Linked DNA regions of Mus musculus. The main gene of each other region encodes a partner of the protein of the gene in region 5 in a complex. Links are inferred from orthologs where the notes say so. Each region holds a gene or a part of one and is shown on either strand. Other genes may lie near its edges. A codon is read from its position in the direction of its gene.

The links.
Region 1: the proteins of Gnao1 (region 5) and Rgs16 are in contact, whole or in part, in a crystal structure (PDB 3C7K), measured with the Mus musculus proteins. Residues at the interface, in NP_034438.1 of Mus musculus: Glu64, Asp65, Gln68, Ser75, Arg86, Thr117, Val180, Lys181, Thr182, Thr183, Gly184, Ile185, Val186, Gln205, Arg206, Ser207, Glu208, Lys210, Lys211, His214, His236, Glu237, Asp238, Glu239; in NP_035397.2 of Mus musculus: Glu85, Phe86, Ser87, Glu89, Asn90, Glu124, Ala125, Pro126, Glu128, Val129 (codon at 2,836), Asn130 (codon at 2,833), Asp132 (codon at 2,827), His133 (codon at 2,824), Glu134 (codon at 2,821), Leu161 (codon at 2,740), Lys164 (codon at 2,731), Asp165 (codon at 2,728), Ser166 (codon at 2,725), Arg169 (codon at 2,716), Lys172 (codon at 2,707).
Region 2: the proteins of Gnao1 (region 5) and Chrm2 are in contact, whole or in part, in a cryo-EM structure (PDB 7T8X), measured with the Homo sapiens proteins. The link is inferred for Mus musculus from reciprocal best matches to the Homo sapiens genes GNAO1 and CHRM2. Residues at the interface, in NP_066268.1 of Homo sapiens: Lys24, Ile28, Ala31, Lys32, Leu195, Tyr320, Asp337, Ala338, Thr340, Asp341, Ile343, Ala345, Asn347, Leu348, Gly350, Cys351, Gly352, Leu353, Tyr354; in NP_000730.1 of Homo sapiens: Asn58, Arg121, Cys124, Val125, Pro128, Leu129, Thr130, Pro132, Val133, Lys134, Thr136, Ile209, Ser213, Lys214, Ser215, Arg216, Ile217, Arg381, Lys384, Val385, Thr388, Ile389, Cys443.
Region 3: the proteins of Gnao1 (region 5) and Galr1 are in contact, whole or in part, in a cryo-EM structure (PDB 7XJJ), measured with the Homo sapiens proteins. The link is inferred for Mus musculus from reciprocal best matches to the Homo sapiens genes GNAO1 and GALR1. Residues at the interface, in NP_066268.1 of Homo sapiens: Ser264, Asn316, Glu318, Tyr320, Asp337, Asp341, Ile343, Ile344, Ala345, Asn347, Leu348, Arg349, Gly350, Cys351, Gly352, Leu353, Tyr354; in NP_001471.2 of Homo sapiens: Thr70, Arg133, Ala136, Ile137, Ser140, Arg141, His226, Leu227, Leu231, Asn233, Ser235, Lys236, Lys237, Ser238, Ala240, Ser241, Lys244, Thr245, Thr248, Leu306, Ser307, Glu308, Asn309.
Region 4: the proteins of Gnao1 (region 5) and Hrh3 are in contact, whole or in part, in a cryo-EM structure (PDB 8YN7), measured with the Homo sapiens proteins. The link is inferred for Mus musculus from reciprocal best matches to the Homo sapiens genes GNAO1 and HRH3. Residues at the interface, in NP_066268.1 of Homo sapiens: Ile28, Ala31, Lys32, Asp33, Val34, Lys193, Asn194, Leu195, Asn312, Pro315, Asn316, Lys317, Glu318, Ile319, Tyr320, Phe336, Thr340, Asp341, Ile343, Ile344, Ala345, Asn347, Leu348, Arg349, Gly350, Cys351, Gly352, Leu353, Tyr354; in NP_009163.2 of Homo sapiens: Asn69, Asp131, Arg132, Ser135, Val136, Ala139, Val140, Tyr142, Arg143, Ala144, Gly147, Ile221, Ile225, Arg228, Arg232, Thr345, Phe348, Arg349, Arg352, Val356, Leu360, Cys415, His416, His417.
Region 6: the proteins of Gnao1 (region 5) and C3ar1 are in contact, whole or in part, in a cryo-EM structure (PDB 8I95), measured with the Homo sapiens proteins. The link is inferred for Mus musculus from reciprocal best matches to the Homo sapiens genes GNAO1 and C3AR1. Residues at the interface, in NP_066268.1 of Homo sapiens: Ile28, Ala31, Lys32, Asp33, Val34, Asn194, Leu195, Ser264, Asn316, Glu318, Tyr320, Asp341, Ile342, Ile343, Ile344, Ala345, Asn347, Leu348, Arg349, Gly350, Cys351, Gly352, Leu353, Tyr354; in NP_001313404.1 of Homo sapiens: Asn57, Asp119, Arg120, Val123, Val124, Pro127, Ile128, Gln131, Asn132, Arg134, Asn135, Tyr356, Ile359, Arg362, Gly366, Arg367, Phe368, Ser371, Lys374, Thr375, Val378, Leu438.
Region 7: the proteins of Gnao1 (region 5) and C5ar1 are in contact, whole or in part, in a cryo-EM structure (PDB 8JZP), measured with the Homo sapiens proteins. The link is inferred for Mus musculus from reciprocal best matches to the Homo sapiens genes GNAO1 and C5AR1. Residues at the interface, in NP_066268.1 of Homo sapiens: Ala31, Lys32, Lys193, Asn194, Leu195, Glu318, Tyr320, Phe336, Thr340, Asp341, Ile343, Ile344, Ala345, Asn347, Leu348, Arg349, Gly350, Cys351, Gly352, Leu353, Tyr354; in NP_001727.2 of Homo sapiens: Asn71, Phe75, Arg134, Leu137, Val138, Pro141, Ile142, Gln145, Ile225, Thr229, Arg233, Ala234, Thr235, Arg236, Ser237, Lys239, Thr240, Val243, Val244, Ala303, Gln305, Phe307.

Annotation. Positions count from the first base shown.
Region 1 is NC_000067.6:153,743,244-153,746,469, reverse strand, and holds the end of Rgs16 (regulator of G-protein signaling 16), read right to left. Parts: intron 2,837-3,226; coding exon 2,615-2,836; 3' UTR 1,002-2,614; downstream 1-1,001. UniProt on the Homo sapiens protein: Regulates G protein-coupled receptor signaling cascades. Inhibits signal transduction by increasing the GTPase activity of G protein alpha subunits, thereby driving them into their inactive GDP-bound form.
Region 2 is NC_000072.6:36,520,391-36,524,500, reverse strand, and holds part of Chrm2 (muscarinic acetylcholine receptor M2), read right to left. Parts: intron 1,332-4,110; 5' UTR 1,292-1,331; coding exon 1-1,291. UniProt on the Homo sapiens protein: The muscarinic acetylcholine receptor mediates various cellular responses, including inhibition of adenylate cyclase, breakdown of phosphoinositides and modulation of potassium channels through the action of G proteins.
Region 3 is NC_000084.6:82,391,637-82,394,637, reverse strand, and holds the end of Galr1 (galanin receptor type 1), read left to right. Parts: intron 1-627; coding exon 628-945; 3' UTR 946-2,142; downstream 2,143-3,001. UniProt on the Homo sapiens protein: Receptor for the hormone galanin. The activity of this receptor is mediated by G proteins that inhibit adenylate cyclase activity.
Region 4 is NC_000068.7:180,101,446-180,106,028, reverse strand, and holds the start of Hrh3 (histamine H3 receptor), read left to right. Parts: upstream 1-1,621; 5' UTR 1,622-1,877; coding exon 1,878-2,127; exon of another isoform or gene 2,128-2,315; intron 2,316-3,133; coding exon 3,134-3,300; intron 3,301-4,583. UniProt on the Homo sapiens protein: The H3 subclass of histamine receptors could mediate the histamine signals in CNS and peripheral nervous system. Signals through the inhibition of adenylate cyclase and displays high constitutive activity (spontaneous activity in the absence of agonist).
Region 5 is NC_000074.6:93,809,201-93,813,939, reverse strand, and holds the start of Gnao1 (guanine nucleotide-binding protein G(o) subunit alpha), read right to left. Parts: upstream 3,103-4,739; 5' UTR 2,605-3,102; coding exon 2,487-2,604; intron 2,290-2,486; coding exon 2,247-2,289; exon of another isoform or gene 385-2,246; intron 1-384. UniProt on the Homo sapiens protein: Guanine nucleotide-binding proteins (G proteins) function as transducers downstream of G protein-coupled receptors (GPCRs) in numerous signaling cascades.
Region 6 is NC_000072.6:122,852,937-122,857,521, forward strand, and holds the start of C3ar1 (C3a anaphylatoxin chemotactic receptor), read right to left. Parts: upstream 3,222-4,585; 5' UTR 3,048-3,221; intron 1-3,047.
Region 7 is NC_000073.6:16,245,824-16,249,527, reverse strand, and holds the end of C5ar1 (C5a anaphylatoxin chemotactic receptor 1), read left to right. Parts: intron 1-437; coding exon 438-1,490; 3' UTR 1,491-2,783; downstream 2,784-3,704.

The DNA.
Region 1 (3,226 bases), on a different chromosome or scaffold from region 5:
ATGTGTGCGTGTGGAGCAGACACACACACCACAGTGTTTCATTGTACCTGGGCACTCCTGTCTCCCTCCCGTCCCCGGTCATGGGCCTCTCTACCCATCTCACATAGACAAACGCCCCACAGTGTAACAGCTCAGATGGCCTCCGGCACCAGCTGCACCAGCTGCACCAGCTGCACCACACATGCTCTCCCCCGTTTAGGATCCGGTCGAGCTGTTGTCTGGATGGTATGAGGTTAGAGCCTGCCTGTTTGTTCCCATATTTTTGCTTAAGCCCTCAGTGTCTGAACCCCTCCTGCTATCACCTGAGAACCCTGGATCTAGGTGTAGGGTGCAATTCTAAGGGGTCTCTACAACCAAGTACTTGAACTCTGATCACACAGAGGACTTGGGGGAGAACTGAAACCCAACAGCATGTCAGATCTGTGTATAAGCAGATATCTATAACACCACATAATTTCTTTTTTTGTTGTTGTTTTTGTTTGTTTGGTTGGTTGGTTGGTTTTTTGAGACAGGGTTTCTCTGTGTATCCCTGGCTGTCCTGGAACTCACTCTGTAGACCAGGCTGGCCTCAAACTCAGAAATCCACCTGCCTCTGCCTCCCGAGTGCTGGGATTAAAGGTGTGTGCCACCACCGCCTGGCTAAATTTTTTTTTCTTTTGAATCAAGATCTCAGTATGTAATCTAAGGCCATTCTCAAACTCCTAAAAGCTAGGGCTTGCAGGCATTCACTACTATGTGCCTGGGCCAGGCTCTTTTCAGGCAGTGAAATCTCAAAGAGCAGGATTTCAGGACTGATGTGACCCAGAAGGCACCAGGCAGAGGAGAAGCCCGGCTCCTTGTGGACTACCCTGCAAAAGCCTTTCAAACCCAGCTCAACCCTTTCGTGCCTTCAGCCACCCACCCCGTCCTGTATCCCCATCCCACAGAATCACCAGAGCTGTGATACCACAGGCCCTCCATACTCCCCTGGACCCTCATATCATCCATACTGTCCTGGGAAATATTGGGATATTATTTTTGAGTTTTATTTTCAGGTTTTTTTACAAGAATATAACATGCTCAAACAGAAAAACAGTGATCACATACACTGCTGATAAAGGAACCCAGCTCCCTTTGTTAACAATAAATAAATATTAACACAGTGGGGAGTCCCGTGTCCCGTTCCCCCCCCCCCCCAGCCCTCAGTGATTCCCAAGGCTTGCAGAGGTAGAGTCTGGTAGGGAGGAGGCGTGATCAGGCAGCAGCTCCAGCTGAGGCTCTTCAGTACAGGCAAACAAACCACAATAAATAACAATAGCAGCGAGACAATCGGCACAACACAACAGAACACAATATTATACTTAAAAGAGTTCTCTCCCGGAGAAACCTCAAGTGCAGAGGGAAACAACCTAGGTCTCCGTCTCGGTGGCTGGTGCTGGAAGTCCCAACTTGGAAAGTTTGTTCGGTAAGACTCAGAAGTGATAGGCAGGCAAGTTGGTTTCCCCCGGCCCCATCCTTCCAGGCAGCCCTCCCCGCACATCTGCAATACTCCCTTGGCTGAGCTAACTTCTGTTCCAGAGCTTTCTTGGTCCTTGACGGGCTTCTCCCCTAACTACAGTGGGCATCTCATGTCAACAGGAAAGAAGCACAAGGCTCCCCTTCCACCAGGGTGAGGGGTAGGAGACACTTTTCCCCATTTTCATACCCACAAAGAGAACTGGTTTGACTTCAGCTAGTCTTTTGGGCTCCTAGATGGATTTTTCAATGACTTCTCTCCCTTAGCTCACCTGCTGGACATGAGTGCTGGCCCCTGTGCCGGAAGTCTCCTTCCTCCCACCTCCCTCCTTAGACCCCATCTTCCAAGGAGCGCAGGGCCCAGTAAGACTTCTCAGTTAGCCCTGTTCACAAGCAGACCCTGCTGCAAAGGTGAAGGCAGGGGGCCACCTACAAGACGGCCATGGAGAGCACCCAGCTTAGGGTCCCATGAGCAGAATGGCTTCTTTTGCAGGATTCATCATTGACCCGGAAAGGGGCTCACAGGCCGGTTTTTTGAGGTATAGAAATCTCATCTGGGCCAAGAATCAGACAGACTCATTGACCTCTGTGAGACGGCAAGAATGAGCACAGGAATATTAAGAAGCCTCAGCTCGGGGGCCCTGGGTGTCCCTGGGAAGGCAAGGGGCAGGAAATGAAGGTTCCACACACACAGCCTTTTCTAGGCCCAGTCCAGGAGTGAGGAAATCAAGACGGGGACCAAAGCCGACTGTCTGGCCCTTAAATAACTGCTCTCTGGCTCCTGTTCTCATGGTTCCCAACCACCCAGCATCCCTTTGTGTGTGCCCTGGTAAAAAGTATAAGTTCTGGGCCACCCTTCCCCCCAGAGCACCCGGCGCAGCCTTGTCGTCAGCCCTCAGTCACAGGTCCTGGAAATGAGGAGTCTCTCCTACACTGGCCCACCACAGTATCTGGAGGAGAGGGGGTTCTTCGCACTCAAGCTGCGGGGATGGATGTCCGTCTGTCCTTCCACTATCCTCTTGCACTTGCTGCACAGGATCTGCCTCCCACACAGGGCAGCTGCTTTAGGGACGGGCGACTCCACCTCTCTTCCCGATGGCTTCTAGGTTGCTGCGGAGGCTCAAGTGTGTGAAGGCTCAGCTGGGCTGCCGCTGGGTGCAGAGGTGGAAGTGGCCGAGGCTTGGGCAGCCAGGTCGCGATAAGCTGGTGACTTGAGGAAGCGCGGATAGGAGTCCTTCTCCATCAATGTGCGGGTCTTCCCCTGAGCCACATCGAAGCAACTGGTAGTGGCAGCTTGTAGGTTTGTCTTGGTCAGTTCTCGGGTCTCGTGATCTATGTTCACCTGTGGGGGAAGCAGGGCAAACCACAAAGGTGAGTGGTGTGGAGTGGGGTGGCCGGGCAGGGCAGGGCGGAGGGGGGGGGAGTTTGGTGAGCAAGTGATGTCACTGAAAGAGTACCAGACAGTAAATAAAGTGACTCCTTTCATATACATATATACATATGCATGTATATATGTGTATATGAGTATATGTGATCTGTATGTATATGTGCCTGCATAAGTGTGTGCACCGCATGTACATAGGAGCCTCTAGAGGCCTGAAGGATCCCCAGAAATGGAGTTAAAGGAGGTTGTGAGCTGCCATGCTGGTGATAAAATATAGGAGTTCTGGATGTATAGTGTGGGGTGACCTATGTCCTCTACAGCAAGTGCTCTTAACCACTGAGCCATCTC
Region 2 (4,110 bases), on a different chromosome or scaffold from region 5:
TGTAACAGAGCCAGTAGCCAATTGTCCACACTGTATTGGGGATGCAGGGTGCACAGAAGGTATTGATGAGCACCATGACATTGTATGGCGCCCACGTGATGATGAAAGCCAACAGGATAGCCAAGATTGTCCTGGTCACTTTCTTTTCCCGGGATGGAGGAGGCTTCTTTTTGGCAGGCTGCTTGGTCATCTTCACAATTTTGCGGGCTACAATGTTCTGCTTTTCATCACCATTCTGACCTGACGATCCCACTAGTTCTACTGTGGTACTTGTTGGTGTGCATGCGTCACCCTTTTGGGTCTTGGTGACAATTTTGATGCATGTCTGCCTAGAGTTGTCATCTTTGGAGTGGCCCAGGGAAGTGGAAACCGTGTTTTCATCCTGGGTTATCTCATCATCTCTCATGTTGGAGGCCACGGCACTGACAGACGTGGAGTCGTTGGAGCTTTCTTTCTCCTCCCCCTGAACGCAGTTTTCAGTCCCACCGTCCCGCGGAGCCTTGCCATTCTGGATCTTGTTGTGCTCCAGGCCACCATCACCACCAGGCATGTTGTTGTTGTTTGGCTTTACAATTCTTCCTTGCACTAGACTCGGAGACACCGGGTCTTGGTTGGCCACTGGTTCCTTCTTTTCTTTCTTTATTCTGCTCTTGCTCGCCCGGGATATGTGCCAATAGAGCACAGTCATGATGATGACAGGCAGATAGAAAGCCGCAATGGCAGTGCCAAAGGTGACGGCAGCGTTGGAAAAGAACTGAATGTAGCACTCCCCGTCTTCCACAGTCCTTACCCCTACGATGAACTGCCAGAAGAGAATGGCTGGGGCCCAGAGGATGAAGGAAAGAACCCACGCAGCTGCAATCATCATGCCTGCCATTTTTGTGGTCCGCTTAACTGGGTAGGTTAGAGGTTTTGTGACACAGAAGTATCTATCAAAGCTGATGATGAGAAGATTCATAACGGAGGCATTGCTGACAACATAGTCCAAGGCTAGCCAAAGGTCGCACACTACAGGTCCCAAAGGCCAGTAGCCAATCACAGTGTAGAGGGTATACAAGTTCATGGAGAAAACACCTATGATGAGGTCAGCACAGGCCAGGCTGAACAAGAAGTAATTGTTGACAGTCTGAAGGTGGCGGTTGACTTTAATGGAAACCATGACTAGAATGTTCCCAATGATGGTCACCAGACTGAGGGATCCAGCCACAAGGACAATAAATACCACTTCAAATGTCTTGTAAGGACTGGTAATAGCCAAACCATTGTTCGAGGAGTTAGTTGAGTTATTCATTTTGTGTTCAGTAGTCAAGTGGCCAAAGAAACATTTAAACCTGCAGGGAAATAGAATGAAGTTAACAAATGTAATATAAATATTGTGTTGAAACACATAAATTTTCTTCCTTTTGGAAAACTTCCCAGTCCCTTTTCTGTGTCCTGAATATATACTGTAACAGATCTGACCACCCAAGAGGCAAAGACTATAGATGGAAGATTGAAATGGCTTAATGGCTGATGATGAATTCATGATTCAATTACACAATGAGTGTCTCCATATACAGACACGAGTGTCTGTGTATCTGCCTGCTTGCTTATATCACCATATCTTTATGAGTTGAAATGACTAAACCAAGTACATAGTTAAAATTTTTAAAAACAACTATAAACTTCTGGATTTGAAAGAAATAATAAATCCGGGAGAAATAAAATATGAAAACAGAAGACAAAATTGAATGTGTGAGTTTTATAGTCAGTAACACCTTTATGGCAGACTGAGCCTTTTCCTTATTAAAATTAATGAAGGTAACGATAAGAAAGACAAAGTACTAACCAATGCACCCAACCAAAGTAAATTTGTTTTTCTCAATTTTGTTTTACAATTGTAGTCCATCTTCTCTTGACAGTACAATTTCTAAAATTCCATACCTTATAAAAGAACTATCATTTACTATTGGTAAGACTGATATGATTATATGAAAACAATTTTCTAAATGTTTTCTTTGTTTCAAGCCATTATTAAATCTATTGTTTTACTATTCTTTGACAGATCTTTCATTGTGCTGAAAAGGAAGCTATAGACCAAAAAGTTGCAGAAAGTAATCTAGAATCACTTTTAAGTCAGTGGATAGGCAGGCTACAATTCTTTTCTTTCCTTTTCTTTACAAATACTATGAGTTATTTTTCAATAAAAAATCATAAAAGAATATGCAGCCTTAGGTCTCTTGGATACACATTTTCTCAGTAAGTATTAAGGGCTATAGAAAGTCTTTGTAATATATTATATCACTACCCTTGCAGAAAGAAGAAAGCTGAGATAATAAGAGTTTAAGGAACTTATTGCTAGGACAGTGAGTAATAATTTATAGCTAAAATCAGCACTTTACCAAAGGCCTTTCTATTGTTTTATTTTGTTTTGTTTTGTTTTGTTTTAAGATAATCTTCCTTGGCCTCCCTTTTGTTTTGTGGGGCTGCACTTAATGAGAGATTCCTGAGGAGCACCACAATGACGTCCTATATAGAGAGGTTGCCAGTCAAGGCAGATAGTTTACTGAATCTGGGATCCTTATCCGGACTGAACACTGAAAACTCTATGAGATGTGAACTATAGTGACGATTGCAACTCAGGAATTTTTAGAGATACCCTGCTAGTCTGTGACAGTACTGGTGTGACAATGGGAAACATGCCATTTAGAAGCTAGGACAAGTATTTGAAGCAGGGACATCCTCTTTTCCAACAGGATGTGCTGATTATGTGGGGGCTGTTGTTCTTTTATGAGATAGTAGCTGGCTTCCACCACTTTCTCATCACTTCTTTTCTCCAATTTTCTGGGGTCACTAAAGCAAATACGATTAGATCACAAATGAAGAAGATGCTCACAATGGAGATGAACTTCAAAGCACTCATGTTCGTATGATAAATGTGTTATGTAGTATTGTACACTTTAGTTTAAATCAAGGTCCTGGGAGTATTTTGGAAGCATGAGAACAACTTGTCTTCACCTAGTTTCTTTGTATACATAGCAGAGAGGAACATACACCGTTCTATGTTTTCTTCATCAAGTTTGAGTATGTACTATGAAGAAGTATGTACTAGATTGGAAGGGTGGAGTTAGGGGGGAGGCACTGGCTTCAACTGGGTTTTAGAACTTGAGGCCCACAACTATGCATTAGACAGACTAGTAGCTCACACACACGCACACACACACACACACACACACACACATACACATAATGTGAACACTCAAGGCCCTAAATCTCCTAATCAATAGTTCACATGGAAGAAATACAAATGGATACTAAATATCTGGAAAGAAAGTGTTGAACATCCTTAGCCAGAGAAATGCAAATTAAAACTACTTTGAGAGTCTATCTCACACCATGCATTAGCTACGTAGTTCTGGGTTTGTGGCTAAAATTCTATGAAATGTACTTTCCTTTATCTCAAACTCTCTCTTTTTTTCTTTTAGAGTTGTAGCAAGGATTGAAGTGATATTATGCCCCTGAGTGATAGTCTATAAAGGCTACGGATGAAACATGTGCTATTAATATTTAAATCTGCAAAGCAGATGTAAATTGATCACCTCTCTTAACCTTTCATAATAGTTAACAGAAAAGAATGTATCAATGTGTGTCAGAGCTATGTATGAGTGGGAAGATGTGGGATGAATAAAGTAGTGAAAGTAGTAAATTCTCACTATCAATGATAGCAAATTGTCAACAATAGTGTTATAAAAAAATCATCACAAGGTCATTCAGTGTATTTTGAGCATAATTACTCTTCAGAATCAAAGAGTAAAATTACTTAAGATTCAAATCAGTGGCACTCTATGCAGACTCTGTTACAAATGAATAACCATCCTTTATCTAAAAAATACCCCCTTTGGCTGAAACCATGTGCAAACACCAGTGACCTGTCAGAGTAAGCCTGGTATTCAGATATCAAGTTGGGTCCTTGATTAATACAAAAGTTTGCACATTACGTATGGACAAGGACTGTATCTCTGGGGGGAGATATCAATATTAAAGCTGTGTAGAGCCCAACACAGGAAAAAATGTGGAGTTTATAGTTCTAAACATTTTTCTAAAATCGATCTTTACAAAATGTGTGTGGGA
Region 3 (3,001 bases), on a different chromosome or scaffold from region 5:
TGTGCGCACTGGAAGAGGCTTGCTATGCTGGTTGGGTTTTCTTGAGTTGGGAGGTCTTGTGTAAAGGTCACACTGGTCCAGAGCTCTGGCTCCTCCTGCCTCGTCTCTTGGCTGCTGGCAGAATTCTCTCTAGCTTAGGCAACAGTCCTTAGTCTTGATCTGTTTCCCATCTCACACTTACCACAGTCTGCATGCGTTTTACACGTGCCTAGGAATCAGGACTGTGTTAGGTCTCTGCTGGGTCTTGAGATGTTGTGTGAGGTCAAATTTAACACTTTTGTGTGATCTCATGAAAGTACCTGTGAGGGCTGGAGAGATGGCTCAGCGGTTAAGAGCATAGACTGCTCTTCCGAAGGTCGTGAGTTCAGATCCCAGGAACCACATGGTGGCTCACAACCATTCATAATGCCTTTTTCTGGTGTGTCTGAAGACTGTTACAGTGAACTGACATATAATAATAAGTAAATTTTTAAAAAGAAAGTTTTTTAAATAAATAAATAAAAGTTTTTTTAAATAAATAAATGCTACAGAGGTGTATTTTACAGCGCTGTATTCTCCTGATATAACTGGTGTATTCCTGCAGCTCCTGTCCCCTCTCCAACCCTCTTCCATTACTCTCTCTTCCAGACTGCACAGACCGTCCTGGTGGTCGTTGTAGTATTTGGCATATCCTGGCTGCCCCATCATGTCGTCCACCTCTGGGCTGAGTTTGGAGCCTTCCCACTGACGCCAGCTTCCTTCTTCTTCAGAATCACCGCCCATTGCCTGGCATACAGCAACTCCTCAGTGAACCCCATCATATATGCCTTTCTCTCAGAAAACTTCCGGAAGGCGTACAAGCAAGTGTTCAAGTGTCATGTTTGCGATGAATCTCCACGCAGTGAAACTAAGGAAAACAAGAGCCGGATGGACACCCCGCCATCCACCAACTGCACCCACGTGTGAAGGTTTGCGGGAGCCTCCCGACTTCCAGCTCCCATGTGTGTTAGAGAGAGGAGGGCGGAGCGAATTATCAAGTAACATGGCAGCTTATTCTCCACAGCAATTCCTATCGATCCAACTACATTCCACAGTGGTAAAAGGACGTTGATTGTTCAGGGAACTCGTGGGTCTACTGAAGATCATTTTCCAATTTCATTTTACTCTATAATTGTATATATGAGACAAAAGAAACTTCTGTATAGTTTCTAGCTCTCAAGGAATGAAAGTCCTACAGCACTCTGCAAATGTTTTGATCTCCATGGTGTAAAGTAAGTTCTGTAAAGCAGAGAATAATATTTGAAATCCACATTTTCAGGCCAGTTAATATAGGGAAAAAGTTCTTTTTAAAAAAAAATTTGAGAGGAGAGGTAATAGTCTAGTCTGTGCTTTGAAATACAACTGTGGGCACAGAATAGTGATTTTTATTTTATTGAACCTTTGTGGACCGGCACCTCATCTGAGTCGTGGGTGTCCAGAGGTCTGTCTGGGGATGTGAGACCCATCAAGTACATCCTGGGAGATCAGCGTTGACTCTACTACGAAACAATCCTGTGAGCTGGGAGTTTAGGGTGAACTAAGAAACTCCATGGAAGTCTGCCGAGGACTGCTGCAAACCTGTGTGTAGCTTTAAGGATGCTTTTGGCAAATGCGTTAGCTGCGTCTCCAAAGAGGAGAGACGTTTGATTCAGAATGAACGAAGACAAAAGTATCCTGTGGGAGAATAGAGACACACAGAGACATGCTGCCTCATGCAGATTTGTACCAACAAATGTCTAAGGATTGTTTTCCCCAAATATTATTCCATGGAGCAATGTTAATTTAGAATTAAAACCATCACCATGTGACTTACAAATGTAACTTTCACAACAAATTTCATATTTACTTATACTTGCCATAGGAAAATGCTGTGAAATTACTAAATTGTCCTGTCTTAGAAGAATAATGTTTAGGTTTAAGACTTTGATAATATTTTAGGAGGAGGGAAACAAAGCAAGACACTTTAAAAAAATCAAAAAGGGTGTATATCTGTGCCAAATCAGCACCTAATTTAGGTTAAAAAATGTAATGTAGACTTCTGGCTCGTTAACTTTTCTAGCTCATTTATTTTCGTGACTATTCCCCTGTAAATAGTGTTTACATTTGCAATAGTCTCTGGATGGAAAAGGGGGGACTGTTGGAATCACGGGGAATGAAGAGTTCTCAGTGGCTGCTAGGGCGGGATGTGTCTGTTGGTGTTATTGGGTATTTTAAAGAGAATTATAAGCCCTTTGCATGGATTTTTGTTTGTTTGTTTGCACTTTATTCAATATTGGAGCAGAAATACTTTATCTTGAAAAAGGTACCTCACGTGATTAGGGGAACCTAAAGCTGTCCTTGTGGATGTTGGCATATGTCCTTCATTCACACTGTCCACAGAGGCGCTTGGTCAGACCTGCATGTGAGAGAGATATCCTATGCTCTAAGAGTTCCTTGTTCTCTTCTGCTCAGAGACTTTGTAGATGGAAAGCCAACACTGTGGCCCCGAGGCATGGCTTATCTAGAAGGCACGTGTTCATACACCCATAAGGCTGGGTCTTGCCCAGAAAGCGGCATCTAATGTGACAGTGTGTACTTGTGAACCCCAAATTTGCTAAACATCCATTCAAACTGCTCCTGCTCCTGAAAGACGCCTCTGTAAACTGCCATTCTGACCATTTTCTCTTCCCTTGTGCTTGACTGTATTTCTAAAGTGACTTAGAATCCCAACTGTAGCCACTTCCTGGGATGATGGGAGACTGAGAGCTCTGGAAGGTGTTCTTATGACCTGGGGCATATCAGTCACGCTGATGAGTGCAGCAAGAGCCCACACATGTGCCAAGCTTCCTTTCCCTGGTAAGTGATTACCGAGGACAGTTTGGAGGCAGTGGATGATGGTGGATGATGGTGACCGGCGGAAGAAGGAATGTGTGGGCCTTTGAAGCAGGGGCAGGTGGCTGCTTTTTAGGGTGTTAGAAAGAAAATTGATGTTTTTGTGACTACA
Region 4 (4,583 bases), on a different chromosome or scaffold from region 5:
GGCAGGCTTGATTGTACCCACCAGTTCAGCTGGATCTTGCTGTCCAGTTCCAGGACATGTTACTTTGACCTCTAGTTAAGTGCCTGAACCCAGTGCAGCCTCTGGACACAGTCAGTGTGCTGTGGAGGGGAGCCGAAGGGTTTGCTTGTAAGAGCAGATCAGAGAAGGCTTTCTGGAGACGATACATTGGAATTTACCCCTCCCCCATAGAAGCTTCCAGGGTGCCTTTGGGGGGCTGAGACTATGGGCTTGGGGTAGAGGCTCCTCTTTGCCAGCATCCCCAAGGCTGGAACAGAGAAATGCCAGTCCCCACTGCCCAAAGTTCTCAGAGAACCACTTGGGGTGGGGGAGGGGCAGGTCCTCACATGACCAGCCTCTGGCTGTCAGTGTGGGGTGCTTGAAGCGGTGCCTGGGGTCCCCCTCCCCCACACTCATACCGTCTACATTTCTGTCCACTTTGAGGCATCCACTGATGTGTGCTGTTGGTGACAGAGGACAGTCACTGCTTCCCCTCTCCCTCGGGCACTGTTCTCTGTCTGTCTGCTGTCTGACTATTCGTGGGTCCCAGCCTGATGCTGGGTGGCTGTTTCCCTGAATGTGAATGTCTGTGTGTCAGAGCGTGGGTGTGTCTGTCTGTCTTCAGGGAGCCTCTGCTGCTGACTCTGTCCTTGACCTCCAGTATCTGTGTCAGAGAAGGGGGGCCGGCGGCTTTCCTCCTCCCCCTCCCACAGGCACTAACGCAGCTGCCACCACCCCGGCTGCACCCAGAACTCAGTGACCTCACCTGTCCCCTGCAGCAGTGACCACCCCACTAAGGTATCTCAGGGGGCATTCGTGGCCCGAACCAAGCTGCTTTGTGGGTCGCCCCTCCACCCACTGCCGCTGAGTTCTGGGTGAATGTTCTCAGCTCTGGGCTGGGTCCGCTCAGGCTCGTTCTTCCCTTATGTAACTCCACATCTGTGTGTGCCTTGCAGGTCACCCTGGACCCTGTTCTGAGCTCTGTCTAACCACGTGGAGATTGAGACCCCACAGTTCTGTGCATATGAGGCTGGAGAGAACCCCTGTTCCCGGCATCACTTTCAGGGACCCCTCCCCAATCTTTCTTTGGACATCTCTTACCCCAGAAACCTACTTGCCCAAAGCAAGATGCGAAAGGGAGTCCTGAGGCGCAAGTTCCCTAGAGCTGCGGGGCAGCCATTCTCCACCCCACCCGGGCAGTGTCCTAGGTCCTGACAAGCTTAGGAGCTACGGACAAGGGTCGGGCAGGGGTCACCAGGGGCGAGGGCACGAGGGCGAACGGATAGCCAAGGGACCAGCTTCTAGGTGCGACCTCAGACATGGTCCCAGCCCTGTAGCTGGTTATTGCCCGAGTCGGGCTCTCCGCCAGCCACGGTGCGCACCGGGGCAGGGGTTCTAGTCGGCCGGCGGGCACGCGGCGCTGTCCGTGGTGCTGCCCGCGCCGGGCGGGGCGGAGGCGGGACGGAGGCGGGGCGAGGGCGCCAGCCAATGGCGGGGGCTCTGCGCGGGGCGCGGGGGGCGGCGGGCCGATCGCGGGGCGCACTTGGCTGCGCGCTGAGCTAGGGGTGCACCGACGCGCCGCGGGCGGCTGGAGCTCGGCTTTGCTCTCGCTGCAGCAGCCGCGCAGCCCGCCCCACTCTGCTCAGATTCCGATACCAGCCCCCTCTGCATCACCCTCCCGGACTCCAGACTCGGCTCTCGCTCCGGTCCCGCGGACCATGCTCCGGGCGCCCCCCGGAAAACCGGGCTGGGTGAAGAGCCGGCAAAGATTAGGCTCAAGAGCAGGGGCCCCGCCCGGCCACCCAGCACTCGGCCCCTGCCCTGCCCAGTGTCCCCGAGCCCTGTGAGCCTGCTGGGCCATGGAGCGCGCGCCGCCCGACGGGCTGATGAACGCGTCGGGCGCTCTGGCCGGAGAGGCGGCGGCTGCAGGCGGGGCGCGCGGCTTCTCGGCTGCCTGGACCGCTGTCCTGGCTGCGCTCATGGCGCTGCTCATCGTGGCCACAGTGCTGGGCAACGCGCTGGTCATGCTCGCCTTCGTGGCGGATTCGAGCCTCCGCACCCAGAACAACTTCTTTCTGCTCAACCTCGCCATCTCCGACTTCCTCGTGGGTAAAGCCCCCAGACCCTGTCCGCTGCCAGAGTCCAGGGGCGCGGAGCCCGGGCTGGGCAATGGGGCTTGGCGCTTCGACCTGGGGTGGCTTCTCAGGGGTTCGGCCTTGGGAGAGGAGCTCTAGAAACCTTAGGATGGTGGGCGCGGGAGAAGTTCCTCGCCTCCCGGGCCGCAAGACGGGGGCTAGGTAGGGATGTCCCCGGGGAGGCTGCCCCAGCCGGCGGGCGCTCAGCAAGGCGCAAGGCGCAGCGACCGCCGGTGCAGCGTTGGCTCCTGCGCCGAACCAAACAAAGGCAGCGGCGCCGGACTCAGGATGCTGGGAGGACGCTGGGGGGGAGGGGACATGGAAGGGGGATTTGGGGAGGTGTGCTGGGGAAGGGGACCGTAGGGAAGGCGGGGGGTGAGATGAGGGAAATGCTCCGAGGAGCTCGTTCTCACGTGTCCAAGCTCTGCTCCCAACTGGGGGAGGGGGGGCGGGGCTCGCGGTGGGGGCCGGAGCGCCAGACACCTGTTGGGGCTGCGAGCTGCTGCGTCTCCCAGACGCTGGAAGCCGGTTTGGGCGGTGAGAGCGGCTGGCGCGGCTGCAGCCAAGAACCCTTTAAGCCAAGAGAAAAGCTTTCTCGGTTTTTAAGCTGAGAAGGGAGGCTGTCCAACAGCCAGGGTAGAGATGGATGATCGGCTCCAGAGCCAATCAAGCCAGGGAGGACATATATCCCATTTTCCTCTTTTGGCGGTTGGTGGGGCTGGCAGAAGCCCAGGTTTTGTGTTCAGAGGTCCCTATGTGGAGGTCCTTCCTCCTGCCACCAGGTCCAGAAGACATTGATGGGCTGGAGGATGGCAGCTGCTCAGTTGTAGGGGGACAGGGTGACTAGGAGGATAAATAAGATATAGTACTAGCCCTAGAAAGGTGGCTACCCTATGAAGGCCAGGCTCTGCCCTTTCTCTATGTGGTCAGTCTGACCCCAGCTCTTGAGCCATGGTCCCACCACAGCTGCTTTCCTATAGGTGCCTTCTGCATCCCATTGTATGTACCCTATGTGCTGACCGGCCGTTGGACCTTTGGCCGGGGCCTCTGCAAGCTGTGGCTGGTGGTAGACTACCTACTGTGTGCCTCCTCAGTCTTCAACATCGTGCTGATCAGCTATGACCGATTCCTGTCAGTCACTCGAGCTGTGAGTTCTGGGATGTGGGCATTAGAGTTTACCCTGTGTGTCGGAGAGCACTGGACAGGGTATGGCTGCTCCTGAGTTATAGGCAGATGGTCTTGCTCCCTTTTGACCGGTGGGCCATTTTTCTGTGACCGTTGGCTGCCAGTAGTAGTACTAGCATGAGGCAGGAGGTTGGCTTGGAATTCCATACTATTGCAGAAAGGGGTGTCAGGGTCCATCCTCTATCCTGGACAGGTACAGGATTCCTGGAACTGAAGGAGGGTCTTCATCCTTCCCACTTTTGTGTGCATGAAGGCGTGCTCACATAACACCAGGAAGCCGCAGTCCCTAACTGCACACGCTCCCCTAAATGGCTGTTGTAAGATAGCTCTGGGACCCAGGCAGAGGGAGAGGAGGACACTGGTGTGGAGTGGGGGTCCATCTCCCACTTCCCCAACTCCTCTTCTCAGTGGCTCACTCCCTTCAGGTTTTGTCAGGATGCATCCTGAGGATGCTTGCAAAGAGCACCAGCATGGAGCCCTCTTGAGCTTCCCTAGGTCCCCTGTACCATCCCCTGAACCACAGGGCTATTGTGACTAAGGTGCCCAGTACAGTGCTGGCATGTGGCATGTGTACCCTAGACCTGTGGTTAGCTTGTGTGGTTCCCAAGGTGGCTGTCAAGGACACTTGTCTCAGCTGTCCCTCTGAGGCCCCTTAGCAGGATTTTTGGCCCCTCCTGCCACCCTTCCCCTTGCTTACTCAGCGCACTTGGAGCTTACTTTGTTTCTTGGAAAAAGACTAGATGGTCCCACCTTCCTACCTTTTCTAGCCATTCACCTTCTAGAAAAGAAGACAGACTATTTAATTTTTGTGGGGTGGGGTGGGGTGGGAGGAGTCTCTAGCAGTGGGCCAGCAGGTTTCCCTTCTGTATTCCCAGCTCCAGTAGTGAGAGGAAGGAAATACTGGTGCAGAGTTGGGACAAAGCCCTTCCCTTTCAGCACAGCAAACCGTTGAAGACAGCTCTCTGGCCCTTGCAAGAAGCCTCACATCAGAAACAGTTGTGTGTGGCCTCTGGGTGTGGCCAGTGCTAATGACACAAGCAAAGTCAGGGGGACCCCATGGAGCTGGTGGAGGATGATGAAGAGACAGGATTCTGGTTGGTTGTGGTAGGCTCTGAGGCTCTGGGAGAATGTGTGGGCATCAGGCAGGCAGGGGACACAAGCAGGGGAGAGAAGGAACATGGCACCTTACCCAGAGCAGACACGGAAGCTGAGGCTTCTCTGATCCTCCAGTCCAATGCTGCTGAC
Region 5 (4,739 bases):
AAGATTTCGTGCCCCAGGACTTAATCAGGAATTTCCATTCTAAAGTGGCACACGGATCTCCTCAGAGAGCTAAGCTTTCTTTGAATAAAAAAGGCAAGTTGCCCTTTTGGGGACTCGATACGTATTTTTAAACCTCTTATTAAATCAACCTAATTTATGAGGCATGTTCAGGAAGAGCAGGTAGCAAGCTGCTTTGGTGGATGCAAAGTTTCTTTGCCATCCCCTCCCACACCCCCAATTCCACCTCCTTTGCCCTCCTCCTGCCGAGGGTTTCCGAATGTCTTCGGGGCCTTTCCGAAGCCGCCGAAGCCGCTCGGCCCTCTCCGCTTGGACCCCGACTGTGCTCCGAACACTGTCGAGATCCTCCGAGCCCCGCTCCCAGGTCAGGCCGAGCGGAGCCGAACACCGCCGAGCCAAGCTCAGCCCCATCGACTTTTCCAGCCTCGGCTGGGCGCTGTCCACCACTTACAACGCCTGAAACCTCACCCTGGCTCAGGAGGCCGAGGCTTCTACCGGACTCCCGGCCTGCCACAGTGGATTACAGACTTGTGAAGTTTCGAAACCTGCCCCTAAGGAGAAAGAGGTGGCGCGGTTTGCATTTCCCGACACGCGAGGGCTCCAGGCAGATGCAACATGCACCTTGTTGCAAAGAGCAATTCCCCAGGCCCCGCCTCCCCATCCATTTGGACTGCACAAGCCCCAGAGAAACCCCAGGCCAAATTACTGGTGGCTCAGAAGGGTGAGGCTAGCCGAAGGGGCCTGTGAGAAGAAAGCCCCCGGGAGCTCTCGAACGCAAATAAGAACATGCCAAGCAGATGGGAGAAACTGTCTCCTAGTCGCTGCTCCCTACCATCATGGCGCCGCCTGGAACTCGCTTGTCATGCCTGTTACACATGCAAGAATTTTTGCTTCTTGGTTTTGAAACCACAAGCACGATTTGTCTCCCACCCACCTTCCCTCGAAAGGGGCTTTTATTTTCCATTGTTTTCCTACGGGATGCAATTACTTCGGCTATTCTGTCAAGTTGAAAAATAATCATTTTTGTTTACAGCACAGCAACCTCTAATTAGGAGCTGTGTGTGCACGAAGGTGTCACAGCAAAGCGACATGGAATCCTCGCTAAACGGTCCTAACGAACTCCTCCGTCCCGAACTGACAGGCCAACGGAAACAGGGCCAGGAGGCCCGGAAGGCACGCACCCGTTCCCTGCCGGCCACCCCTCCCCAGGCAGAGCTGCCTGGAGGCTCACCGGGAACCGTGGAGTGGATGGGGCAAGAAGCAAGCCAGAGAGGAGGAAGGACGGGCGAGGCTCCTAAGTGGGGAAATGTGGAAAGGAAGGAATATCCCATTTTGTTTTAATTTTCAACCATCACTCAAATCCACCCCCAGTTAATTAGGAGGGGAAACTGATATCTAAGGCAGAAAGGGGGCGGTGGCAAGTAGGGCCTGAAATCCGCATTGAAGGTAGAATACAGAGTGTAAATACAACGATAAAGGCTACACAGTGACTGGAACCTGCGGGTGTCAGAAGAGCAAAGGCTGGAGGGCCAGGGAGGAGAGGGGCTGGAGGGCAGATGAAACTGGCTTTTAGCCCCACAGACCCTCCCACCTCTGCCTTGGATAAGGCTGTGTCTGTCACATCCGCTTGGAAACCCATCCTTTCTCCCCAGTGCACGCCCCCTCCCCTAACCCTTGCTCGCTTTGGGGGGGGGGGTCGTCTAAGCCACAGCCACCAGGAATTCAGCACCAAACTCGTGAACAGCAAACACTTGATCCTCCACCCCAATCTGCTAGGGCTGGGTCCCCTCCATGTTTTAGTCAAGTTCAAAATCACTGCCTCAAGAGAAGCAGGGGGAAGTGGGATTCGAGGGGTGGGGTGGAGGAGGAGGGGAAAGAAGATGAGGCAGAGACAGAAATGGAGGCAGTGAAACACGAAATACTCCACGAGCAAGAGTTATGATCATAAGCACGCCAATAGTGTGATGTTCTGATCAATATGGCGGACACTGTCATTCATACAACTAGAGGCGCTCTCATTCCCTCCCCGCAAACACCGACCCCAGGAGTTGGGGTGGGGGACCCAGAACCAACGTAGGGAGTGGGGGAGGGGAGGCAACCTCGGGTTTCTTCTGTGTGTGCGCGAATTAAAAACCAGGCCTGGAGAGCAAATATGGGTGAGCAAGATAATAAAAACGATATAAATTATTCTTAATAAAAGTACAAATCCCAATGACACAGGGACTTACTTCATCTGCTTCACAATGGTGCTTTTTCCTGATTCTCCAGCCCCTGTTGGGACACACAGAGGGGGGGAAACTGGTGAGTGTCAGCTCATGGAAATGGGAAGGGGGCTTCAAGGCATGCACAGGGTGGGCGCTCCTGGGCACAAGGTGTTGCCAACTCAGGGACCAGATTTCCCAGGGCGCAAGTCGGGTTGGGAACTGTGGCGGGGGTCGAGGGGCGGGGGTGGCTACCCAGGTCCTTACCCAGCAGGAGTAATTTCACGTCTTTGGCGGCGCTGATGCCATCTTCTTTGAGGTTTTTCTCAATCGCCTTGCTCCGCTCGAGGGCGGCTCTCTCCTCTGCGCTCAGCGTACATCCCATGGTGGCCCCTTCCCTGCCACAGCCCGCACGACTAGGCTGGCACGACTCCCCGGGTCGGCGCGCCCCCCACCCCCCCACAGAGCAGAGCCTGGGCTCAAAGGGGAGAAAATCACGATATCCTCTCCTTGGCTGGGAACAAAATTGTCGAAAGACCAGAATCCCCCCAAAAGGACAGCCTCTATTAAGATTCCAGCGGCGAAGATTAGCGGCGGCTGGCTGGGGTCTGGGGGTGTCGAGGTGAGGGTAGCCGGGGTCTGGGGCTCCGGAGCCGAGAGAGGAGGCGCCCGCGGGCCCGGGAGGCGCGGGTTGCAGGCACCGAGGCTAGTGCACGACCCAAAATAAATAAAATAGGAGTCGAGGCTGGATCCGCAGCCGGAGCCGGCGGAGGGTGGGGTGGGGGGCAGGGTGGGTCCTTCTGCCGCGGCTGCCGGAGGCGGAGGAGGAGGAGGCGGAGGCGGAGAAGGTGGAGGCGGCGGTGGCGCGGGGTGTGGAGGGAGTGAGTTAGGGGGTGCCGCTAGTGCATGTGCATCGCCGCTCCTCGGCCGTCGATGCGTCCGCGGCGCCTTCTCCGACCCCCGCGCGCGGGGCAGGGCTGGGCAGAGGGCCGGGCCGGGGGTGGGGGGTGCAGCTCTCTCTAGCGGGAGGCGGCGTCGCCGGGGCCCAGAACTCGCATCGCTCGGCGGAGCGGACAGGAGACGGGGAGAGCGCGAGGGAGCCGCGGCCAGCGGGGAGCGCGAGAAGAGGCGGGCAGGGAGGGCAGGGCACGCGCGCGCGCGCCGGGGCGGGCGGGGAGGGGGGGGGCGAGGCGAGCGCAGCTCTCGAGTGCGCCTGGTCCTGCGCAGCGCTCCGCCAGCCGCCCGCTGACGTCAGCAGGGCCGCGCGCCGGGGGCCCCGGGGACGGCGCGGGCGGGGGCGGCGCGCATGCCCGCGGGACGCGTCAGACAAGCGGGCGCGCGCGCGCGGCGCCGCCCACTCTCGGGTCCCCCTCCCCCCGCGGCTCCCGGAGCGTGCCGGGCTGGGGAGGGCGGGGCCTGGGGCCGGGCGCGCGCCTGCGCCCCACCCCGCCCCACCCCGGCGGGTCTCGCGCGCCCGGCCCGCCTCCTGTCAACCCCAGCGCGGCGGTCAGGTGGTCCCCAGCCCTGGGCCTGAGCCTCCAGCTTCCTGGTCCCTCGGGCTCTGGGTCGTGTCTCCGGCAGATCGCCTTACCGATTGTTCTCCTTCGCGGCTGGAGGTGTAGCCCCTAGTCGAGCTATGGTGCCTCCGCAGATGTGAGGAGGTAGTGGGTCAGGATAAACCCGCTCACTCCATAATAACGCGCTGGGGCTCAGTGACGGATTTGGGTCCGCATTTATTGAGCATCTAGTGTCTAGAGACTGGGCTAGTAGAGAGGAAAGTAGCAGGCAGAGAAGAGGCAAGGCCTGCTCCGCAGGAGTTTTTGCCTCCCTTAGCCAATGTGAGCCTTACCGCGAGATGCCCACAACCTCTGTCGCTAGAGATGGTTACCATCCTAGGATGGCTTGATGCCAAAGGCCCAGGGACAGTCTTTCATGAAAGCCTCTAGCAAATACTTGTTCCCTTAAATTTTTCTCTATATGATGAATCGATGGCCTCCCTTGGTTCTTGAATTCTTGTATCCCCAGAACATAATCCGGTAAAAATGAATTCTTCATAGGTTTGTGATAAGAGATTTTTTTTCTTCCTTTCATCTTAAAATAACAAACTACTAGAAGAAATACACCCTTCATATCTTCTCAGATAGTCAGAAACCAGGGTCAGTTATTCAGCAAACAGCGAACCCAGCACTGGGGAAAACAGTAGACAGTTGCCAAAGATCGGTCATGTTCTGGGTGGTCTCAGAGCCTGAAGACATTAATTCTTACTGCACAAAATAGTTTTACAATCAGTTCCACCAGTCAGCCCCAGGGGCCTTCCTAGATGGAGGAGCCAACAGGCAAGACTGCCCAGGATAAAGACAGGCAAGGGGCCAGTGGAAAACACTTTCTTTTTTCGTAACAGTTGGGCATTTCTGTGACTCTGAAAGTAAACTTGTTTGCTTCATTTCAGCAATGGAGAGAAAATCCTATTTTGGAAATGTCACTCAGCATAAAAATATATTTGCAAGGGGGAAAAGGGGC
Region 6 (4,585 bases), on a different chromosome or scaffold from region 5:
GCTAGTAGCAAGTTTACAAGAAAGCCACCAAGGGTGGCAGTTGTGGACCTAGCACATAGTACTCTCTAAACTTGCTGTTTCAACTCAAGTCCCCACTTTTAACTTTTAACTTAAGGAAGATTCAATGTAAGGAATACCAAGTTTTCATCCAATTTTTTTTCCAACTTTGGGCGCTTATTGCTCTGAACAGTCATTCTTTTTAGTTTGTTTGTTTGAGGCAGGGTTTCTCTGTGTAGCCCTGACTTTCCTGAAATTCCCTCTGTAGACCAGGCTGGCCTCAAACTCTTGCCTCTGCCGCCTGAGAGAGGGGCTTAAAGGTGTGTGTCACCAAGCCCATCTTGAACAATCATTCTTAATTCTCTCCTTCATGGTTTGGGGTTATTTCGTCTTCTGCTCTTATTATTCTGCTAAAATTGCATCTAGAACCCAAAGCCAGACGGACTTCTCTATCTTCTACAGTGAAGTTCTCTGCAGTCTGCCCTCCTGGTCGGTGAGATCCTTCCCTAGTTCTGAGCACTCGGACAAATGCATCCTTTCTGCCCACGTCTCATCCCTTCAGATCAATGCTGCTTTATATTCCTAAGCAGGGCTAATGGTTTCCACTTAGAAATACGCCCCTAGAATGGCTTCTTCCATGCCCTACACTAAAATTCTACCCATTAAAATACTTACTCCTCAAGGTTAACCTCAATGCACTATATCTAAAACAGTCTCTTATAATCCTCGAAGAAACTGATTCTTTGGTCTCTCACTTGTACATGTGTGTGCTGACTCATGTACATGAATGTAGAAGTGTGTGGTTGATTTTTTTCTGACATGTCCTATGAGGAGGCACATGTAATCTTAGGTTGTAATTTTTATAGTGGCCCTAAACTGTGTGATGGTAAAGACAAGACCTGTTTACAAATGCCTCTTCCATATCATTTAGCATATGGATCAAGGGTCACTTTTTTTTTCTTTTGTTTTTTTCTGAGATGAAGTTAGATTATATAGACCAGGCTGGCCTCAAACTGGAGATCTTCTGCCTCAGTCTACCAAATGTTGGGATTACAACGCATGTACCCCCACGGCCAGGGGGATGCTTACCTTTCGGGTTTAATTTTTTCATTTTCAATTACATTAAAAATATTAGTCTTTAGCCATTTTATTTTTTTCCCATATGGCTTCTTAATTCCTATGCTGTCTCTTCTAAATTTCTCTCTTGATTTTAAATTCCCAAACATTACTGGATGTAGTAACAGTTTATATCTTTAAAAATGATTAATTTTCATTTTATGTGTGTTGCTGTTTTGCTTGCATGCGTGTCTGTGGGATGGTGTCAGATTTCCTGGAACTGGAGTTACAGACAGTTGTGAGCTGCCATGTAGGTGCTGGGACTTGAACCCTGGTAGAGCAGGGTTCTGGAAGCGCAGCCACTGCTCCCAACCACCGATCATCTCTTCAGCCTCCTCCATTTTTATTTATTTGATTTGATTTGATTTTTTGGTTTGCTTGTTTTTAAATGGAAGCTGGGACATTTGGAAGCGATTCTGCTGAACTTGACAAAAGTTTGTGACAAGTCTTATGCGGTAAGCAGAAGTTAGGATAACAACAGAATAAGAAGAAAAGGAGAAACGATACCCACTCTGGTCTCTGTCTTTTTCAAGTCCTACCATTCCCTTATGTGAACGGCAAGAACTCGGATCTAGTGTCCCATTCCAACCTCAATGCGTACCATCCTAAGATGCTGAGAGCAAAGCCCACCCAGAGACTGCTAGGAACAGAGCAACCCACAGACATCCCTCGCTGTGCAGCTTTTGATGCTGAGATTCTGGAGATGACGTGGCTTTCACGTGACCGCAGCCGGGGAGAGCCCCAGCTACTCACCTAATAACGCCTAGGTTACTGTTCTTTTTTACTGCAGGGATCACATGACTGAGAAACTGTGGTCTCGATAATAAAGTGGACATAGCGATTTAAAATAACAGAAGTTGAAAGGAAAACATTCCAATGTAAGAGCAACTGAGTTCCGTGCTGTGAGGAATAGTTTAAATATCACAAATGATCTTCCTTGAAAGCTCACACCCTAAAAGTCATCCAGGACAAGACCACATTACATTTCCCCAAGTTCTGAGCAACCCCCCCCCAAAACCAAACCAAACAAAAACCCTCTATGTTTAAGTTTTTTATAAAGATTTCAGGATTGAGTTGGCCAGAGTAATTAAAAAAAAACCTGAAACTAAAATGTATTTATGATGAGTAAAAATTAGATTTAAATATCAAATAATAATTATGGAATGATAGAACCAGCTATTTTGATAAGGAATAGCTCAAAGAACGGGAGAGTTACAGAGAGCAACAGAAGAAGAATCCACATATGGGCATATATATATGTGTGTGTGTGTGTGTGTGTGTGTGTGTATATATACATAAAAATAAATGTGTGTACATGTGATCAATGATTACAGAAGCAAAACTAAGGGAAGAAAACATGATCTATAATCTAGGGGAATAAATAACATAAATTCATTATTATTTTCAGAATGAAAATATTAAAAGCCAAGATAAATAGAATGTATAGTATTTACATAAAAATAAAAGTAGACATGGAGATAAGACAGGAGAAATAAAAATTTGGGAAAGTTGGGAGGCAGAGACAGGCGGATTTCTGAGTTCAAGGCCAGCCTGGTCTACAAAGTGAGTTCCAGGATAGTCAGGGCTACACAGAGAAACCCTGTCTCGAAAAACAAAAACAAAACAAAACAAAACAAAACAAAACAAAACAAAACAAAACAAAACAAAACAAAAGTTAGGGAAAGAACCAGATATGATTGTGTACAACTTTAATCGCAGGAGAAGGAGATATAGCTCTGTGAGTTTAAGGCTAGCCCAGTCTATGTAGTGAGTTCCCAACCATCCAAGGCTCTATGTAAGACTCTCAAAAAAAAAAAAAAAAAGTTTTAGGGAAAAGAATAGAAGGAAACAGAAGATAAGGAACTTGAAGCCATTGTACATAATCAGCAGGCTAAACCAAGCATGAACTATAAGGCTCATCTATGTTTTCTTACCAAGCACACTGAGATGGAATCCAAAGGCTCCAGGACTGATGATCTGCGAGCCACCAACAAATCCTGTCTGGTCCAGCCAAAATGAAGTAGTGAAGTGCATTGGACGAGTTGCTGAGCACTGACTTTTCCCTGGGTAAAGGGAACTCAGGATCATGACTGCTATCTGACTGCACAGGAAGGGCCTTTCCATGAGTCACCTCTTAAACTTAGCCGGCGTAGATAAGAAAAGCAGAAGGACAGAGGAGGGCGGGTGGAGGAGGCCGATCAGGACACAGATATTTCCTGCAGGAACCTGTCACCTTAGCTACGAGATGCTGAGATGCAGGCAGGCAGAAATTTGAGGCTTGTCTGTGCTACAGAGTGAGGTTTTATTTTTTTCCCTTTAAATTTGCTTTATTTTATCTTTATATCAGTATGTGTGTGCCATATATGGTTGCTCACAGAGGCCAAGAAAGGATGCTAGATTTCTTGGAACTGGAACCTAATGTGGGTGCTGGGATCTGTTTTTAACCTCCGAGCCATCTCTCCAGTCCCATAGAATGGGGTATTTAAAAGATCTATTGATTTTCTTTTATGTGTAGGAGTTCTTCCCCCCCCCCCCATTTGTGTGTACATATATTTGTGCCTGCTACCTATGGAGGCCAGAAAAGGGCATGGGGGGGGGGGTCCCTGGAATTGAAGTTATAGATTTGCCAGTCACTCATTTGGTGCTGGGAACTCAACTATTAAGCCATTTTTCCAGCCTCTACAGAGTGATTTTAAGACCAACTTGAGAAAGTTAGCAAGACCTTATCTCAAGACAAAAAAGTAATAAAAGATCTAGGGATATAGATTGTGGGTGAGCACTTGTCTGCTATGTCCTAGGTCTTGTGGTTAATCCCCAGGTCAGGAAAAAACTGTGTGTGTGTGTGTGTGACGACGGGAGATGGCTATGATCAAGTTAGGTTGAATGCATATGTACTTGTTAAAGAACAAATAACACATTTAAGAACAACAACAAAAAGATGGCTGAGTTGGGAGGTGTAGCATAAATTTTTTGCAACCTACTTTTAATTATAAGGTTCATTCTCTTCTCTAACCTACCACCCAGCAGAGAGAGTGGAAGAAAAGTTATTAGAATATGGTGGAAGTGGGCCTGTTCAGCAATAGTTCTTTGGGGGGGGGTGGGCGCAATCCCCGTCTTCTTTCTCAGCAGTTCAGTCCCATAGCAAACACCAAATACAACTCAGCAGTTGTAGACCAGTCCTATAGGCAGGCAGATGCCACACATGAGCTAGCAGCTTCAATCCAGTCCTCTCCACCAGCAGACACCGGGCATGAATGCCAACTGGTCTGAGGCAAGGCTGCTAAAGTGGCAAGCAGCTGCAGGAACCGAAGTCCTTGGGTGAGTTTCTCTCAATGGCTGCATTACCACGAGTTGAGCTCAACCACGCTATATAAGGTGAATGAAGAATGGGGAGACAGAGCAAACCAAACCAAGGCTCAGTGCTCATGCCCCACTGTCTGTGGAGTCATATTTACATTCTTTCCTCAAGTGT
Region 7 (3,704 bases), on a different chromosome or scaffold from region 5:
GATCTCGTTACGGATGGTTGTGAGCCACCATGTGGTTGCTGGGATTTAAACTCCTGACCTTCGGAAGAGCAGTCGGTTGCTCTTACCCACTGAGCCATCTCACCAGCCCCGAGATTTTTTCTCATCACCTCCCTACCCCAATCCATATACTTGATTAAAGCCCAGGTCTGGAGAGCCATGCCTGTAGTCTCAGCATTGGGCAGCTGAAGTAGATGGACCACCATGATTTCAGTTTATCCTGGGCTTCAGAGTGAGTTTAAGACCAGTCTGGGTAATTTAACAGAGAACCTGTCTCAAAATAAAATCTACAAACTATACTAGTTTTATAGGTGTTCAGCATCCCTTGGTAGAGTTGAGACTCAGAAAGACGGGCAATGCCTCCATCCCCTGGGAATGTGTCTACCAACTCACACAATCTACCTGTTTGATTTGCTTAGGACCCCATAGATAACAGCAGCTTTGAAATCAACTATGATCACTATGGAACCATGGATCCTAACATACCTGCGGATGGCATTCACCTCCCGAAGCGGCAACCTGGGGATGTTGCAGCCCTTATCATCTACTCGGTGGTGTTCCTGGTGGGAGTACCTGGGAATGCCCTGGTGGTGTGGGTGACAGCCTTCGAGGCCAGACGGGCCGTCAACGCCATCTGGTTTCTGAATCTGGCGGTGGCCGACCTCCTCTCGTGCTTGGCACTGCCTGTCCTGTTCACGACCGTTTTAAATCATAACTACTGGTACTTTGATGCCACCGCCTGTATAGTCCTGCCCTCGCTCATCCTGCTCAACATGTACGCCAGTATCCTGCTGCTGGCTACCATTAGTGCCGACCGTTTCCTGCTGGTGTTCAAGCCCATCTGGTGTCAGAAGGTCCGCGGGACTGGCCTGGCATGGATGGCCTGTGGAGTGGCCTGGGTCTTAGCATTGCTCCTCACCATTCCATCCTTCGTGTACCGGGAGGCATATAAGGACTTCTACTCAGAGCACACTGTATGTGGTATTAACTATGGTGGGGGTAGCTTCCCCAAAGAGAAGGCTGTGGCCATCCTGCGGCTGATGGTGGGTTTTGTGTTGCCTCTGCTCACTCTAAACATCTGCTACACCTTCCTCCTGCTCCGGACCTGGAGTCGCAAGGCCACGCGCTCCACCAAGACGCTCAAAGTGGTGATGGCTGTGGTCATCTGTTTCTTTATCTTCTGGCTGCCCTATCAGGTGACCGGGGTGATGATAGCGTGGCTGCCCCCGTCCTCGCCCACCTTGAAGAGGGTGGAGAAGCTGAACTCCCTGTGCGTGTCCCTGGCCTACATCAACTGCTGTGTTAACCCTATCATCTACGTCATGGCTGGCCAGGGTTTCCATGGACGACTCCTAAGGTCTCTCCCCAGCATCATACGAAACGCTCTCTCTGAGGATTCAGTGGGCAGGGATAGCAAGACTTTCACTCCGTCCACGACGGACACCTCAACCCGGAAGAGTCAGGCGGTGTAGAGGAGAAGCCACAACTGGCCTAGCTGCTCCTTTTCCAGCCCTCCTACCCCCTCCTCTTCTTCCTCCTCCTGCCTCTCCTCCTTCCTTCCTTCCTTCTCTTTGCATGTTTAATTTTCTGCAATTCTCTAAGTTGCTCTGACTAGCCTTGAGCCCAGGATCCTCATGAAGGCTGAGATTATAAATATAAATTCCTTTGATGAAAAGCATCACATTAAGATAGTACTCGGCTTTTTTTCTAAGGCTTTTTTTTTTTTTCTTGGCTACGTTGCCCACCTGCAGTGGCTAGGCAGATACACCTAATGATGACCTCCAGGGGTTGGATAACAGAGAACAAGAGAATTTCCTGGCCTTCTTCTTCCTCTCTTCCTCTTCTTTTTCCCTCCTCCTCCTTCTTCTCCTCCTCCTCCCTTTTTTTTTTTATGGTTCTGGTCTGAACCCAGGTCTCAATGGAACCCAGGGCTTATGGATATATCACATAAGCAAGCTACAGCCCCAAACCCCAGGCAACCAGTATCCACCCACCCTTTATTTCTTTTCTATGTTTGATTTTTTTTTTTTTTGAGACAAGGTCTCATGTAGGGTAGTCTGGCCTTGAACTCCAGATCCTCCTGTGACCATCTCCCAAGTGTCGTGACTGTAGACCTGTGCTGTTGTGTCCGACCTATCCTTTATTTCTACAATTTTGTGTTTTCAGGAATGGTATTTAATGGAACCCAACATATCCAAGCTTTGTAAAAACAACTATGCATGGCTTACTTGATAAATTTTTTTTTTTTAAAAAGGTACAGAAATGTGTTGTTTAACTTTTTAAAAGCACGTATTTATTTATTTTGTGGGGGGTGAGGGGGTGGTGCTGGGCAAATGTCATGGTATATGTGTGGAGGTCAGAGGACAACCTGTTGAAATTGGTTCTCTCATTGCAACCATGAAGGTCCTCATGGAATCGAACCCAGGTCATCATACTTGGCAGCAAACACCTTTACCTGCTGAGTCACATCACTGGCCAGAGGTGTCCTGTCTTATAATGCGTTCTTTCAGCTTAATGAATGTGTGTGCATGAGTGTATGTGTTGGCTAGAAAATATGTACAGATCAACACCAGAAGTATCATGCAAGCATGGGAATGGTTTTGAATTTCCTGGTCAAATTAAAAATGTGAAAGAAGACCTGGGTGTGGTGGCGCAAACCTATATCCCAGCATGTGGGAGGTTCAGGGGCCAGAATTGAGTTTTAGAACCCAGCCTGGCTTACCCAGGGAGACTGTCTCATGAGATCCAAATAAACAGTATATGATGGAAAACACTGGAGTTTAGCTCTGCTAGGCCCTCTCTTCTTCCCAGTGGATATGTGACCACTGGTTGTCACATATCACAGACCCAGCCTACCTGTGTTCTGCTATTCACACTTTCTATATGATGACACTAACCTCACTGAATTTTTACAGGCTCCATGCCTTGGCATTTATTATTTATGTATTTATTTATTTTGAGACAGGATCTCTTTACATAGCCCTAGCTGTCCTGGAACTCACTATGTGAACCAGGCTGGCCTAGAACTCACAGAGATGGGCCTGCCTCCATCTCCTGAGTGCTAGGATTAAAGACATGAGCCACCACATCCAGCTTTATTCTATGTTTTGTATGGCCTCTATGAGTTTGAAACATTTAATCAATTAGTTAGTTAATTAATTAATATATGAGATGGGATCTCATGTAGCCCAGGCTAGCCTTAAGCTGGTTTTACAGCTGAGGTGGGATTATAGGTAGTCCTCCTGACTCCCAGTTGTCTCCCTCTTGTGGCTTTTCTCATTATCGGTCACATCTGTATTGCCACAGCTGAGCTTCTCACCCACTGACCCATGCCCCAGCTGTCCCAAGAACCTCTTCCTCCCCTTGCTTTTCCATTCCAGGAAAAACCACACTGGCAACCTGCTCACCCAGGCCCTTTCAGCTGCCCCATCACAGACCCAGCCCTCCCTTCTTACCACACACCCGGCTCTACATCCTGCCCCCCCCCCCCGCACCCCCCCCCGCCTCCTTCATGCCTCTCCCTTCCCTTGATCTCCTGGTTGCCCAGCACCTCTTCCAAGGACCATCCTGCTCCCATCCTGTCTTCTTGCCAGGTGTCCCCTCCTTAAGGGAGTCCCCTGTGACAGCCCTCAGTTTCCCATAAGCACCCTACCATCAATCTTTTTCTCTGGCTGCGATTGAGCTTC